2 linked regions of the Oryctolagus cuniculus genome follow. The protein of the gene in region 1 interacts with the protein of each later gene in a pairwise test. Links are inferred from orthologs where the notes say so. Each region holds a gene or a part of one and is shown on either strand. Other genes may lie near its edges.

Region 1 (4,541 bases):
GCTGCAAGAAGAAACAGGCCCGAGCCGGAGTCGCTCCTGGACACAGACGCTGCTGACAGCCGTGTCTGTCCCCGGCACGCACGAGCACGCCCCTTCTCTCTGCGGCTGCACACGCGCGTGCACACACACACCCCAGCTCAGGAAACAGGTGCTGGGAGAACCTGCTGCGTGGGGGATTGGAGAGGGGCTGGGGGGCCCAGGGGTCTTCTGAGGCTGAGTGCGAGGGTAAACCCCTCCCCGCCTCTCGCCGCCATTGCCATCCCGCACAATGCAGCTGCACAGGCCGGGCTGGGTGGCTCTGCTCTGCCCCAGCCGCAGCAGAGCCTGCCCGGACGGGGGGGGGGGGGCAGCTGGGTGATGCTTCCTCTTGGGCGGGAGGGGGTGGGGGTGGTTCAGGGAGCCTCTGAGGAAAATGGCACAACCCCTGGAGAAGAGCACACTTCCGTCCCGCACGCCTCAGGCTGGTTCCTGCTCTCAGCTATAGCTGGAGGGTGTGGCAGAATGTTCTGGAAGTCAGGTGAGACTGTCCCCTCCCAACACTTCCAGGACACTGACTATAGGCCAGACCCTGACTGTACCTTTTCAATACCTATGACCCCACATTTCTGCAAAGGGAAGCAGACGCCTCCTGCTGGGGTTTGCATGCGTGCCCCAAAAGTCTCTAAGTTACATCCCAATTCATAGGTTCGATGGTGTTTGGAGATGAAGAGGATTAGATGAGGCCATGAGCAGGCCACCATGATGGCGCCTATGGCATTAAGGGGAGAGGAAGAGAGACCCGAGCGGGTGCACCTGCTGTCTCAGTACGTGTGCCTTCTACCGTGTGGGACGCAGCCGGGAGGCCCTCACCAGACGCCGGCTGGCACTGTGCTCCTGAGCTCCCCAGCTCCAGAACCAGGAGCCAAGTACACTTCTCTTCTTCTGAAATGAACTGGGCTCAGAGGTTTCCTTCTAAAGAGAGCAAGACGCCTCTCCGTGGGCAGCTCCGGCCCAGCTGCCCGTGTCACAGGCGAGGCAACAGCAGCAAGCGGAGGGAACTGAAGAGGCAAAACGGAAGCCCCAGTCTGACCTCAGAGCCCGTATCCCCGCAGCTTCCTCTGTGGCTCCCCAACCCTGCCGCTCGACGCGCCCTGTGCAGGGGCCTCTCTGAGCCGTAGCCCCCCAGCCCCTTCTCCATTCCGTCATAGCACTGTCATCACTAACGACTGTCAATATGCACCCCTGCCTAGTTCTGTGGGGACGCTGCGTCTGACTTGGTTTCGGGGGCTCCTGCACTCACACCTGCCTTGCACATAGTAGGTACCCAACAAGTGGTGGAGTAGCCAAGTCCTCCAAAGGGGACAGCAAACTCCCCGGCAGCCTGGTTGGCAGCAAGGCCCCCCCCCGGCCCCGGGGCGTGCCCCCACACCTCCCACCGCTGCCACCCTGGGTCTCAGCAGCCACAACCTGCAGAAAAGCTTGACCCCTTTCCCTTGGGGCCACCTGAGGCCGGGAGGGGCCTGGCAGGGACCGAGCGGGGAGCAGGGCCTCCGAGCCGCCAGACAAAGGGCGTGTGTTCTGGGCCAGCGCACTTCCTGGGTTTCCGTTGCAGGAAGTTTGGCACCTGCCTATCGGTGACACCGACACCCAGGCTGGTGCGGGGAGGTCTGGGCCAGGACGGTGCCTCCATCCGGGAGCAGCAGGAGACGCAGCCCGGGCGCTACATGGCAGGTGAGTGGTGCCAGAAAGACCCTCCCCCCTCGGGCCTTGCAGGCCACCCCAAGCTGGTCCGGAACACATGTGGGAAGGCCCGAGGTCCCAGGCTGCCTCAGGGTGACTTTGGACAAGGCTCGGGTGCCCTGTCATGCTGTCTGCCGGGGCAGCGGGGGGGGGGGGGGAGCTCGGGGACTGTCCCGGAGGTACAGGGGTGGGGGGTGGGGGGCAGCTCCTCCTCTATCGGGCTTGGCCCAGCCCTGAACAACGCTGCACAGTGTGTGGGGGGGGGACATCACCGCAAGCCGGGGACGACCCCGACCAGGGCAGGGGCACCTTGCTCACGGCCTCCCTGAGCCCTGGCTTCCGCACCTGGGAAGGGTGGTGTGTGGGGGTGGGGGTGCCCACCCTTGGGGCCCTCAGAGCAGTGTGCCCAGGGCACCCGCTCCTCTGGTTTGAACCCAGCTCTGCCACTTGGCTCTTGTGAGGCCTGAGCCTCCCCAGGTCCCCTCTTTCCCCCGCCCCGCCACATCCCCCTTTTGTGAAGTGGGCGTTACCAGTCGGGGTGCCTAAGGGGCACAGAGGAAGGTGTACAAGGCAGATTCTAAGCGCAGCCACTGTCACTGCTGTGGCTTCTGAGGTTGTGAGACTCAGATGGGCAGAGGGCTGGCGGAGGCAGGAGGGGCAAGGGTCGGGGGGGCCGAGATTTAGGGAAGGGGAGGAGGGGGACACAGAGCAGCCAGGCACCCCCCACCTCCGGATCCCCAGGACCCCCCCGGGGAGGTGGTGAGCTGCAGGACTGTAGGGAGAGCCAGGCCCTAACTGGCTGTCCCCCAGGTGGTGCTGGGCCCAGCCATTGTGGCTTTAATCAAAAGAACAATCTGTTTGCCTCTGAATCAGACCCAGATTCCCTTTCCCAGCAAAGTCCCTGAGCCTCCAGGGACCTGAGCAGCCCATCCCGGCCCCCGGGCTCAGGTTCTGTCCATCCCTACCCCACTTCCATCTGCCCCAGGTTGGGGTCCAGGACACAGAGGGATGGGGTCAGGACACAGTGCCCAGGGTGGCAAACCAAGTGACCTGGCTGTCAGTGGGCCCTGCCTACCAGAGCCTGTCCCCTCCCCCAGGGTGCTGGGGTGCACCTGCAGGGATCCAGACAGGCAGTGACCCCCCCCCACAGCAAATAGAGGTGACAGGCTGCCCCAGCTAGGCGGGCTCATAGTGTGCCTCATGAGGTCAACCCGTCCCATCGTCTGGGTCACCTAGAGGGGCAGGCTGTGGGCAGATCCATTTTACAGACCAAGAAGCTGAGGCCCAGGGTCCCGAGGCTTGGCGAGCAGCCATGGAACCCAGTTCAGACACTTCAGCCAAAGCCCAGGTGTTAGCACAGGCCTCCGTCGGACCGGGCAGGCGGGGCCGCGGACCCAGGTGACCCAGGGCAGGGGGAGTGGAAGGGCCACTGAGGGCCCACAAAGATGCCAGGGTGCGCAGCGGGGCTGGACGCCCACCCCAGGCCAGGGGCGAGGGGCAGGGGCGAGGGGCGGGGAGGAGTCTCCGAGGGAACAAAGGGAAGGGGAGGGGGCGGCGCGGGGCGCGGCCGGGCAGGTGGGGGGGCAGGTAGGGGCCGCTTCCGCGGGGCGGGCCCCGGGCCCCCTCCCCCGGCCTCACCTTTTATGGTCACGCGGCGCGGGGCGCGGGGCGGAGGGAACGAGGGGCGGGGAGGGGCGGGCGCGAGGCGCCGCGCTCTGGGCTCTGCGCGCTCGCTCCGGAGTCCGGCGGGGCCGCGGGGGCGCGGGCGGCCCAGGTAAGCGGGCGCGGGAGATGGTGGCGGGGGTCCCAGGCTGCTGTCCCCTTCCGGGCCACACGCAGGTGACAGAGCGGGTGGCCCCGGGCCAGAGTCCACCCCGCCCCCTGGCTGGGACCCCAGCCCCGGCGCCCCTGGAGGGGGCTCTCCGGGACGTGGGGGCCGCTGTCCTGGCGTCGCCGCCCGTCAGTCCCTTCCCCGGTCCCGGGGCCGGGGGAGGGCTCCGCCCGGTGGCGGGGGTCGTGTCCTTGCCCGGAGAGGGGGGAAGCTCCCGCACAAAGAGGCCCGCGTCCCGCACATGGACTGAATTAACTCCGCGGCAGCGCCCCGCGGTGACCCGGCCCGGCCTGCCCCGCTGCCTGCGGAGGCGCCGGGTTTCCCCAGCTCCGGGCCCCCCGGGGCCAGGGGCGGGCGGGGGCGGGGCGGGGTGGGGGGCAGCTCTGCAGGCCGGGGCGACGCCCTAGGTGTGTGCGGTGGCGCTCTTGGCCTTGCTCTTGCTGCAGCCCAGAGCGGAGGGCCCCTGTGAGAGGCTGGGGCAGCCCCCGGATTCCCGCTCCCTGCTCCCAGTCACTTTGGGAGCCCAGTCCTGGCCCCCAGGGGCGCCTGCTGTCCCTCTCGGGGTGAGGGCTACATAACCAGCTGTCCTGCACTCCCCTTCCCACACCAGCCACCCCCTGGCACTTTGTGCAGGAATCCGGGCCCAGAGAGGGTAGGTGCCCTGCTCTGGCCGCCCAGCAGGAAAGAGGTGGGTTCCCGGGTGAAGGTTGCTCTGTGCCTCCTCGGCTTCCCTGGGGTAGGAGGGAGTTGGGGGGAACCCCCACCCCAAGGCAGCCAGGTCTCTGTGGGAGGGCGTGGGTTGGGGTGCAGCCCCCAGCCGCTCACCTCCAGGGGGGTTTAATTGCAGACAGACTGCTTTGTCAAGGTATTAAAGTGCAGAACTTAGAGGTGCCGGGGCTCTTCTAGAGGGGGGCCAAGGAATGGGGAAGGAGGGGACAGTGGGGTGGGAGCACCTCCCCCTTCCTGGTCAGACACCCCCGGCCCTGGGTGC
Region 2 (3,483 bases), on another chromosome or scaffold:
ATGACTGCCTCATCTTCCTCCACCCCAGCCCCCTCCCCAGGGCTTCCTAGACGCTCAGCACCTCCTTCTCCCCTGTGCCGTAGCTTGTCTCCTGGGACTGGGGGAGGAGTGCGGGGTGGGGTTGGCTACCTGTCCCGAGGGGACCCTGTCCGGGTCCTTGCTCGGAGAGTACGGCCTGATGGCTCTGTGCAGTACCTGGTTGAGTGGGGAGGAGGGGGCATCTTCTGAACAGCCCCGCGGCTGCCCGCCTCCCTGCTCACACACACCGGCACTTTCATACCCTGACCTCTCACCTCACCTACAGCTGGGATGTACCTGGAGAGACAGGGGATAGTTCTCCCTCCTGCCCAGGCTGGAATCCATGGTGGGGTGTGGGGAAGAGGCTCGCTCTTCTCTGCCCCCTCCAGGATTCCTCACCACTCCCCCACCCCCATCTTACCATTTCCTTTTCTTTTTTTTTTTTGTTACTGCTTTTTAAATATTTTTAAAAATTATTTAACCCCTGGGTGCAGAGACTGAGGAAGAGGGGGGGGAAGATAAGAGATCCTGGACTCTGTATGGTTGAAATAAAGAGGAAAAAAACAAACCTAGCAGCCCTGCGTCATTCTGAAAGATGGAGGAACACGAGGACCAGAGCACTCCCTCTTCTTCCCCAACCGAATGTGCATATGTACAAGGAAAACAGGCAAAAGGCAGAGAGAACCAGACTGGATTTATTGCGGGCTCAGCCATCCCGGGGAGCGAGGGCCCTGCAGCGTAGGCGGCGACCGGGCAGGCAGGTCACGGTAGGGCTGTGCTCGAGTCGGGGCCCCGTTCTGTGACCTGCCGCACCCACTGCAGGTACGGGGAGTTCCCCTGCTCCACAGGCAGCGCAATCACCTCTGCCACTTCGTAAGGGTGCACAGAACTGCGAAAACCGGTGGGGGTGGGTGCGGCTGAGAAATGACTGACACGCTTACCCCAAGGGGCTCCCTGCTTGGGCAGAAACCCTAGACTGCTCAGCAAGTCCCGCCCACTGCACACACCCCCACCGCATCCATCTCAAAAGTTCTCACCGGACAAAGTCTGTCAAAGCCGGGACCAAGGAACTTTGAGTTTTAATCATCTAAGGGGCAAAGAGAAATACGGTTGGATGAGGGAGATGGGGTTGAATGCAGGGCCTCAGCTGAGGGGTAGGGGCTGGGCAGTTCTCTTGGGTGGGGGGAGGTTTCTCACCATCAGCACCTCACTGTCCTCCTCGATCTTTCCTTTCCACTCATAGCTGAAGAGGTCAGAGAGACAGAGGTAGAAAGTCTTGGGGAGCAAATCTTTTTCCCCCAGGACAGAGATTCCCAGCCAGCCCCGTGAGCTCCGGTTACCCACAAGTCCTGTGACTCACATGGATGTGATCTGAGGGATGAGGTTCACGCAGGCTGCCAGGCGCTTCTCCACCACAGCCCTGAAGGCGAAGAGACCGGGATTTCTGCCCTGGCGGCCCGGCCACAGACACAACCCCTCCTCCCCCCGCCCAGCAAGTCCCGATCACGACCACCCTTCTTCGCTCCACACCGAAGTCCCCACCTGGCGATTTCCTTGGCGACTTTCTCGTTGGGGCAGGTGACAAACGCCGCAGAGACCGATCCTGGAACATAGCCAGAGCCTGAGGCCGGCGGGGGCTGGGACGGGGGGATTTCAGAGGCCATGGACAGCAGGGCTCGGGGTAGCAACAGAAGGCGAGAGGCCACGGGCAGCAGGGTAGGCATCCAAAGGAGCGACAGGAGCAGGGCAGCCTGAGAGCAGGGGGCGAATTTGGTCTCTTCCCACAATTCCCCCGGGAGAGTGCACTTCAGGGAGCCTTCGCTGGGATAGATGCTCAGGCTCTGCCCTCCCCTTCCGCACTCAAGGAAAATGCCCCTAAAGCCGGGAGGGAAACTTGGAAAATTAAAGCAAAGCCTCGGTTTTCACACGCCTCAGCGGGTCCACCGCGGAGGCTACTTCGAAGACCGGAAGGGGCGGGGCCGGTCACTCACCCCTCCGCCGAGCAGGACTCCAGGAGCCCGTCCCCCCCTCATGCAGCCTACGCTGGTAGAGGAGACTTGGTAACAAAGACCGCACATAACACCGAGAAAGGACCCCCAAACCCAGGAAGAGCGGCCTCCTTACCTGGGTAGCAGCCACGTGACAAGAACTAGCGCACATCACGTGACTGAAGCCTACCCTCCCTAGCCTTCAGCGCTAACCAATCACGGCCCTCATTTGGCCCGAGTTACCCCTCCTCTAGATGAGGGAGGAGCAAGGGGAGATTTGGCCAATCGACAGCCGGATCTGCCGACGTGCGCGGAAATGGCCCGCCCATTTCCGTGTAAACCGAAAGGGCCTGTTGCTGGCTGAGAGGAGCCGCTGCGGCGTTCCACTGTCACGTGAGGGGGCCGGGCCTCCTGGGCGGCAGCACCTCAGAGAGTGATGCGAACGCACCAATCGCAGGCCAAGCCCGCAGGCCATGTGACGAGAGAGGGGCCGCTCGGATAGGGGGGCGGAGCCCCCGCAGTTCGATGCGTCAGGTGGCGGAGGGTCATCCTCAAGCCCCAGAGTGCCCCTAGTAACAGCCTTGCACTGTTTCAGCGGCCTTAGGCAGGGGGAGGGTCTGAGAAGACGGACTCTCAGGGGCTGAAGAGAGCGCCCCCTATCCATTCAGTTAGGGCTTACACATGCTTCAGTTTGGGAATGGACAGCGATGGTGTGAGGCGAAGCCAGCTGTCCCCGGGCAGGGGGCATGGGCATGGCTGGACAACAGCCAAGGGAAGAAAGATGCACAGCCCTGTATATGGAATAGAGGATGATGAAAGTCCTCAGCCCTCTTAACTTAAACTCAAAGCTTGAGACAGAGTGGAGAATCTGAGGAAGGGAGACGCGAGGGCTGCAGGTTGGGGATGGTGGTGACGGTCCTCTTGTCCCCTAGTCTGCCTATTCTGTCCAGGATTGGACCCCTCTGAACCTTGGGTCTCCTTTCCTTACCCCATCCCCCAAGGAGCCAGGACCTGTCCTACATAACCTCCCTGGGGCCCAAGCACATTCTGTGACCCAAAAATGGAGAGAGAGGGGCCAATGGGAGGCCAGAGAAATGGGAGGAGATGGCACAGACGGAAGTGCTGCTGCCCAGTCTCGCCCCGCCCTCCAGGGCGTGGGGTCAGTGATGGGGTGGGCGTGCCTGCAGATGACACAGGCTCCTGTCAGGGGCCTCTCATATTTACCACTCTGGATTTGGGGGGTGGAGTGGATTTGGAGATCTCTGAGAGATCTCTGGATTTGGATTTGGAGTTTGTCTCAGAGATCTCTGGGGTCTTTTCAGTGTTTCTGTTAGGTTCTTTCTCGGGACTTTAGTTTTCTGGGCTTTGTTTTGGGAGTTTCTGTGTTTCAGGGTGCAGTGGTTGCTGTCTCTGGGCTCTTGCAAACTCTTCTGCAAGAGTTTTGGGACTCCGAGTTCTTCATCTCTGGGCTAGCTGA

Evidence for each region.
Region 2: the proteins of FBLIM1 (region 1) and CUTA interact in binary tests that used the Homo sapiens proteins (3 or more experiments, as listed by UniProt). The two-hybrid records come from large-scale screens. The link is inferred for Oryctolagus cuniculus from reciprocal best matches to the Homo sapiens genes FBLIM1 and CUTA.

What each region holds. Positions count from the first base shown.
Region 1 is NC_091438.1:153,868,857-153,873,397, reverse strand, and holds the start of FBLIM1 (filamin-binding LIM protein 1), read left to right. Parts: upstream 1-1,568; 5' UTR 1,569-1,710; intron 1,711-3,397; exon of another isoform or gene 3,398-3,493; intron 3,494-4,541. UniProt on the Homo sapiens protein: Serves as an anchoring site for cell-ECM adhesion proteins and filamin-containing actin filaments. Is implicated in cell shape modulation (spreading) and motility.
Region 2 is NC_091436.1:135,730,610-135,734,092, reverse strand, and holds CUTA (protein CutA), read right to left. Parts: upstream 2,143-3,483; 5' UTR 2,097-2,142; coding exon 2,010-2,096; intron 1,770-2,009; coding exon 1,561-1,769; intron 1,439-1,560; coding exon 1,379-1,438; intron 1,262-1,378; coding exon 1,216-1,261; intron 1,106-1,215; coding exon 1,056-1,105; intron 908-1,055; coding exon 781-907; 3' UTR 693-780; downstream 1-692. Other genes in the region: PHF1 (PHD finger protein 1), read left to right, coding at 1-228. UniProt on the Homo sapiens protein: May form part of a complex of membrane proteins attached to acetylcholinesterase (AChE).